Tamandua tetradactyla: one gene and its partner. The protein of the gene in region 2 purifies or fractionates together with the protein of the main gene of each other region. This does not show direct contact. Links are inferred from orthologs where the notes say so. Each region holds a gene or a part of one and is shown on either strand. Other genes may lie near its edges.

What was found.
Region 1: the proteins of POLR2M (region 2) and RPAP1 purify together in Homo sapiens (affinity purification with mass spectrometry; 3 studies listed by BioGRID and IntAct, counting the BioPlex papers as one, with this or other methods). This does not show direct contact. The link is inferred for Tamandua tetradactyla from reciprocal best matches to the Homo sapiens genes POLR2M and RPAP1.

The regions. Positions count from the first base shown.
Region 1 is NC_135340.1:55,166,981-55,171,106, reverse strand, and holds the start of RPAP1 (RNA polymerase II-associated protein 1), read left to right. Parts: upstream 1-1,269; 5' UTR 1,270-1,330; intron 1,331-4,126. UniProt on the Homo sapiens protein: Forms an interface between the RNA polymerase II enzyme and chaperone/scaffolding protein, suggesting that it is required to connect RNA polymerase II to regulators of protein complex formation.
Region 2 is NC_135340.1:73,292,764-73,296,363, reverse strand, and holds the start of POLR2M (protein GRINL1A), read right to left. Parts: upstream 2,894-3,600; 5' UTR 2,760-2,893; coding exon 2,647-2,759; intron 2,309-2,646; exon of another isoform or gene 2,021-2,308; coding exon of another isoform or gene 1,929-2,020; intron 783-1,928; coding exon 135-782; intron 1-134.

The DNA of each region.
Region 1 (4,126 bases), about 18 Mb from region 2:
GCATTATGTAGATATCCCTTTTTAGTTTACGGTGTGTTGGAGTGGCTAGTGGGAAGTACCTGCAACTGTTGAGCTGTGTTCTAGTAGCCTAGACTCTTGAAGACAATTATATAAAGATATAACGTTTACAATGTGACTGTCTGATTGTGAAAATTTTGTGTCTGACGCTCCTTATATCCAGGGTATGGACAGATGAGTGAAAAACATGGATAAAAAATAATAAGTAATATGGGGGACAAAGGGTAAAATAAAATTGGGTAGATTGTGGTCAATGGGGGGGTAAGGTGCATGGTATGTATGAGTTTTTTTTTCTCATCTTTTTATTCCTTTTTCTGGAGTGATGCAAATGTTCTAAAAAATAATCATGGTGATGAATACACAACTATGTGATGATATTGTGAGCCACTGATTGTACACCATGTACAGAATGCATGAGTGTGAAGATCTCTCAATTAAAAGAAAAAAAGTCCTAAAGGAACTCACAATCTATTAAAAGAAATAGTGCATGCTTGTTGAACGTAACCAGTGATGGTAGGTGGTGCATTCCAAATATGCTATGGAGCGGTTGGTAAGATTCCAGGTAATTCCAAGGAAAGTTCTGTGAGTAAGCCCATTGGCAAAGGTTTTAGAGTGACTCGGCTAATGCTTGGAGGAAGAGATAGACATTGGAGTGGGGGTACGGTGGCAGGGGAAAAGAGGGAAGCTTTCCAAGACAGGAGATCGCATGAACAGGATGCTTAAGAAACGGGGTAGTAACCTCGCAGGCAGAGAGGCTGTCTTCTCTGCCTTCTCCTCACCCCCTCCATTCCTGCACTGCTCCCTCAAATGTATCGTTTCTAGAGCCTCCCCTCACGTTTTCCTAGTTATCCTCTTCCTCGTCCATAAACACACTGGAGTGGTCACACTGTTGTGCATGTAGGTTTCTGTGGACTGGCTGCCTGCGGGCGTGGGTGCTGGGTGCAGGATGTGATCATCCGGCAGAGCGCGCGCAGAGGAGCGCCTGAGGAACCCTCGGCCTGTGCCACAGGTGTAATATGTGTGCTGCTCTACAACAGAGAGCACACCAGGGGCCTGCGCTGCTGTACAACAGAGAGATGTGTGCTCTGGGTGTTTTGTACAGAACTAACGTGGTGAGGGAAAAAAGCGGCAAAGTTCGGCGGGGGCCCACCTTTGCTCTCACGGGTCGGCGCCAGCAAGCACAAACCCCCAAGCGGGCGGGGCTAGCCTCGAATAGGCGGGGCCCGGCTGCGGGGCGGAAGCTGAAAGCCGGGGCGACGGAAACGCGCTTCCTGCAGGGCAAGATGGCGGCGCCCTGGTGAGCCTAGAGCAAGTAGGTGGTGGGGCTGGAGGGATGGGCCTTGAAGGACTCGGGCGGAGGGCCCAGGTAAAGGTTGTTTGGTTCCGGTGTCGGAAGCTGTTCTAGGATCTCTGGCCTGTAAAGCAGTGGCGTGGTCTTTTTGGTGCAGATATTCTGGGTAAACGGCCGTCCATCCACGAGCGACATAGATTTCATTCTCTCTGGGTACGGAGGGATAACTTCCGACCGCAGAGCCCAAGGGGCAATCGCCGAACCCTACTCTGAGCGGCGTCTGGCGCTGGAGGATAGGCTGCAACGTTAGAGAGTCCTGCTGACCCCTCAGAGGCAATCCTATAAAATCCTGTCGTGCTTTGTTAGTGCTACCCTGCTTACATTTGATTTGCTAGTTACGCCCGTTCGTACTGTAGTTCAAGGTATTATCACTTCTCTCATGGAATGATTCTGGACAAATCAGCTATGATTGTGGAAATAATGTACTGATGGCTTTACTTGTGACTTTACTTGCTATCTTTTACTGAAGCTTTATGTAAGTACCAGACACTCTGAGTTTTTACATTCAGTCCCGTTGCACAATCTGTATCCCTTCAGCTCCAATTACCCAATATCTTACCCTATTTCTATCTCCTGATAGTCTCTGTTACCAATGAGAGTCTCCAAGTTTATTCACTAATGTCAGTTCATATCAGTGAGACCATACAGTACATGTCCTTTTGTTTCTGGCTGATCTCACTCAGCATAATGCCCTCAAAGTCCACCCATGTGTTACATACTTCATAACTTTATTCTGTCTTACAGCTGCATAATATCCCGTCGTATGTACATACCACAGTTTGTTTAGCCACTTGTCTGTTGATGGACATTTTGGCTGTTTCCATCTCTTCGCAATTTTGGCTGTTTCCATCTCTTTCCGCCAAACTGCCTTCCACAGCGGTTGTACCATTGGACATTCCCACCAACAGTGGATAAGTGTGCTTCTTTCTCCACATCCTCTCCAGCACTTGTCATTTTCTGTTTTATTAATAATGGCCATTCTGGTGGGTGTGAGATGATATCTCATTGTGGTTTTGACTTGCATTTCTCTTATAGCCGGGGAAGTTGAGCATCTCTGCATGTTCCTTTTGGCCATTTGTATTTCTTCTTCTGAGAAGTGTCTGTTCAAGTCTTTTGCCCATTTTGTAATTGAGTTGGCTGTCTTTTTGTTGTTGAGTTGAACAATCTCTTTATAAATTCTGGATACTAGACCTTTATCTGATATATCGTTTCCAAATATTGTCTCCCAATGTGTAGGCTGTCTTTTTACTTTCTTGACAAAGTTCTTTGATGGGCAAAAGTGTTTAATTTTGAGGAGTTCCCATTTGTTTATTTATTTCTTCAATGCTCTTGCTTTGGGTGTAAGGTCTAGGGAACCACCTCCTGTTAAAAGATTTATAAAATATTTCTCTGCATTTTCTTCTAACAGTTTTATGGTCTTAGATCTAATGTTTAGGTCTTTGATCCATTTTGAGTTAATTTTTGTATAAGGTGTGAGATATGGGTCCTCTTTCATTCTTTTGCATATGGATATCCAGTTCTCTAGGCATCATTTATTGAAGAGACTGTTCTGTCCCAGGTGAGTTGGCTTGACTGCCTTATCAAAGATCAACTGTCCATAGATGAGAGGGTCTATATCCGAACACTCCATTCCATTCCATTGGTCAGTGTATCTATCTTTATGCCAGTACCATGCTGTTTTGACCACTGTAGCTTCATAATATGCCTTAAAGTCAGGTAGTGTGAGACCTCCAACTTCATTTTTTTTTTCTCAGAATACTTTTAGCTATTCGGGGCACCCTGCCCTTCCATATAAATTTGGTTATTGGTTTTTCTATTTCTGAAAAGTAAGTTTTTGGTAATTGGTATTGCATTGAATCTGTAAATCAATTTAGGTAGAATTGACATCTTAACTATATTTAGTCTTCCAATCCATGAAAACGGTATTCCCTTCCATTTATTTAGGTCTTCTGTGATTTCTTTTAACAGTTTCTTGTAGTTTTCTTTGTATAGATCTATTGTCTCTTTAGTTAAATTTATTCCTAAATATTTTATTCTTTTGGTTGCGATTTTAAATGGAATTCTTTTCATGATTTCCCCCTCAGATTGTTCATTACTCGTGTATAGAAATACTACAGATTTTTGAGTGTTGATCTTGTAACCTGCCACTTTGCTGTACTCATTTATTATCTCTAGTAGTTTTGCTGTGGACTTTTCAGGGTTTTGACATATAGTGTCATATCATATGCAAACAGTGAGAGTTTTACTTCTTCCTTTCCAATTTTGATGCCTTATGTTTCTTTTTCTTGGCTAATTGCTCTGGCTAGAACTTCGAACACAATGTTGAATAACAGTGGTGATAGTGGACATCCTTGTCTTGTTCCTGATCTTAGGGGGAAAGTTTTCAGTTTTTCCCCATTGAGGATGATGTTAGCTGTGGGTTTTTCATATATTCCCTTTATCATTTTGAGAAAGTTCCCTTCTATTCCTATACTTTGAAGTGTTTTCAACAGGAAAGGATGTTGAATTTTGTCAAATGCCTTTTCTGCATCAATCGAGATGATCATGTGGTTTTTCTGCTTTGATTTGTTGATATGGTGTGTTACATTAGTTGATTTTCTTATGTTGAACCATCCTTGCATACCTGGGATGAATCCTACTTGGTCATGATGTATAATTATTTTAATGTGTTGCTGGATTCGATTTGCTAGAATTTTGTTGAGGATTAGCACTAGTTTTCTATGTGATTCCTTTGGTCAGTAGGATGTACTGCTTTGT
Region 2 (3,600 bases):
ATGTTGCTCTATTTCCAAAACACATTCATTCCTAACTACAAGTAGTTTTCACACAAAGCCCAAATTCCCTCCTTAAAAAAAAAAATTCTAACAAATATTGTTCCTATGCTAGATCTATTTCCAATGGTACTTACATATTTGTTTTAAATTTATGTAGTGGGGGCACTGGATTTTTGGCTCGCATTTCTAGCACTTCCACGTAATGGGGCTTCTTCTGAGTCCTGCTATGAAGATCTGTCAAGTTAGTAGTGCTTGTGTTTTCTTCAGAGCCGTGTTCACCTTGGTCTGTAATTGTGATCTTCTGTAATCTATCAATAAACAGGCTGTCAGAGCTGCTGGAAATATCTTCTGCTTGACCTGAAACACAACGCTGAGGAAGATGCTCACTAGCTATAGATGAGAAAGTTGCACCGATTCTGACGCTCGACCCTGGGCTCTCGTTCACTGTGCACTTTGCCTCTGTGGTCTCTTCATCGCTTTTGTTAGTGAGATCTGCAATTCCCTGTTTTTGTGAGGTTGTTTTAGATGACTTGATGTTATCCACAGAGGAACAGTTAGGAATTAGTGATGAAGTATCAAGTATCTGATCAGAATTCTGGGTCTTATCTGTGTCCACATCAACTGCTACAACCACAGTTTGCCTTGGTTTACAGCCTAATCTAACGGGATGAAACAGTTCGCTTTTTCCTCTAAATTCTTCACGTTCGGCAAGGGCTGCTTTCAGTCTGGCAGCACAGTCTAAGATCTTTTTACCTTTGTCGGGCAATTTGCAAATGAATTTTCTGTCAAATGGAAAAGAACAAGTATACATCACTGGCATGTTTTTAACCCCAAGATGGGAATTTAAAAAACAGAGCATTATCCTCAAAAGGAGAAAAACTGGCTTTTAAACAAAAAATTTGATTTCCAACTGCCCCACACAAGAATGAAACAAATTAAGACATTACCCAAATACTCTGCTGGAAGAATAGAGAATAATTTTTGTCTCATCTAGCTAGAACTGCAGAAAAGTAATTTAAGTATACAATAACAACACAAAGCATTCCCATATTGTAACAGTTTTTAAAATGTGGTCCCCAAGGCCATCTTGTCTGCAAGGTCAAAACTATTTTCATAAAAATACTAAGACAGGAGTGCAAGGGCAGTTCAGTGATAGAATTCTCACCTGCCATGCAGGAGACCTGGGTTCAATTCCCGGTCCATGCACTTTCCAAAAAACAAACAAACAAAAATTCAACAAATGGTGCTACAATAACAGGATACTCACATGGAAAAATAATGAAATGTGATCCCACCACAGAGCATACAAAAAAAAATACTAAGACATTTTTTTACTATTTCACTCCCATGCTCGCATATGGGTAGGGCTTCCCAAAGGTTTTGTGATGTGATGACTAGTGGAACGTATGCTTGTATATTTTTGTGTTTTAAAGATTTCTCTGTTGTAATTCCTAATAAACATAAATACTGATAGATATAAGAGATATAAGAGCTCTTCGGGATTGTCAATTATGTTTAAGAGGAAAAAGTTAAGAGAATTATACATTAAAAAGTCCACTCTCACAAAATCAAAACACCTATCTATTAGGAAGGTGCCAAATGATTATTTTTTCCTTTTTGCTGAGTGGAGTCTTTTTTCCATTTCCCTTTCTCTTTAGCTATATAATACACGGGAAGGAAAAGTTACATCTCAGGCCCTCTTTTCTTTCTCCACATTCATTCCCAGTTTCAACTATTAACACTTCTCTGCAGTTGAGACTCCCCTATTTTTCCAGTCTCCTCTCTAGAGCCCCACGACCACTTCTCCAGCTTTTAACTAGACATAATTAACTCAATGTCTGTTCAGCCCTTCCCTCAACTCATTCTAAGCAAATTCAACCTGGACCTTTTCTCCTCCCCCAATTTTCCTAGTTTTGGCAATGGTTTACCTGGAAACTTCCAGCATGGACGCTGGAAACAACATATTCAAATTATCCCATGCTTGATGTAATTTTCTCCATCTCATGGCCACCGTTCTCATTCGCTTTCTTAAGAAATCCCCTTGTTGGGAACCTATCTGAAAATATCCTCCTATTGCCTTAAACCTTTTATTCCTTCAAACCATCCTCCACTTAGCTGCTAAATGAAGTTTCCTTAAAAAAAAAATTACTTATTATATTACTACCCTGGTTGAGTGAGAGTTCAAACTTTCTCGGCTTAATAAACCATTCTTCATATCCCACTTCTCCCACTTCCTAGAGTTCGTGAAAGAAAGATTTTGAGATGAAATTCACAAGATATTGAGCCTTTACTGTACTGGGCACCAGTTGTGGGGAGAGGGGGGACACAGAAAGAGTTTATAGCACAGACCTTTCCTTCAAGGATTCGCCACAACACCTGGATAAAGAAAACCAACAAGGTGGTAATGAACAGCTCAAACGATAAAACACAAGTCCAGTACCCTACTCATCCGGCAGTGTGACTAGTGCGTGACTGGCCGTAATGCGGTGCAGTTTTGCGGCTGCAGACTGTCCCCTCGCCTGTGGGGCAGAAATGAATCTGAGACAAGGTCACCTTCCCGGGAAGGGAACCCCGGGGTGGGGAGGAGCTTCCCAGGGAGCCGGGACCAAAAGAGCCTGGCAGTGACCCGGCAGGACCCAAGCTTACTCGTTGCGCAAAAGTCTCTCCTGGCGCTTCAACATCTCCCGCAGCTCCGCCAAACTCCGCTGCCCCAAGTCCTCGAGAGCCTGGGGCTCGAAGCCGCGGGGCAGCGAGGACATTCTGCTGGGGCTGAGGCTGGCGAGGCGGCGGGCAGTCGGCTTCCTCACCAGACCTCGCCGCTAGCGCCAGACCCGCAGCCGGCGGCGACTCCGGGGCACGAGCGGGAGACGCCATCTTCCCGGAAGAACGAGTCTCCTTCGAGCCGAATCGAGCTTTATTGAAACGCCGGAAACAAACACAGACAAGGAGAAGGGGGCGCCGGGAGGAGCGGAAAGAGGCGGAAGTTGCGAGTGACGTCAGCGCCTCGGCCGAGTTCCCTTTTCGCGCCGTTTGCTGGCTTGTCTTTTCGTCGCCTATTCATTTGTTTACATCTAAAGTATTTATTGAGTGCCACCGTTTTTCATGTTTATGCAAAAAATTTATGGAATGCAACTGTGACCTCACCAAACGCTATATATTAGTGGGCACATAGCCACGGCCACTATTTTCATTTCGATGTGGCGAATGGCAGCAAGTACTAACAGAGAGCAAGACAATTTAATAGTAAATTCGAGATGGACATCAGGGGAAGTATCTCTAAGAAGTAAAATTTGGAACCTGAAAGTTGAGTTAGCCATTGATGGGGTTGGGTTTTCAAGGGCCTGGTCTATGATGTGGATCCTCTTAGCTCAAAGCTTAGTGAAGTTGTAGCATTGGGAAGTTATTTAGAGACCATCATCCCTTCTTAATAGGGCTCTGTGCGTTGGGGACCGAACATTCTTTATTTGTGGCAATGTCCCAGGCATTGCAGGATATTTGGTATCCCTAGCTTCTGGGCACTAGTTGTCATGGCACTCCCAATTCTTTGAACTAATCCAAAGCGCCGCCAAAAACCTTAGCAAAGGCCGCTAAGAGTGGTGA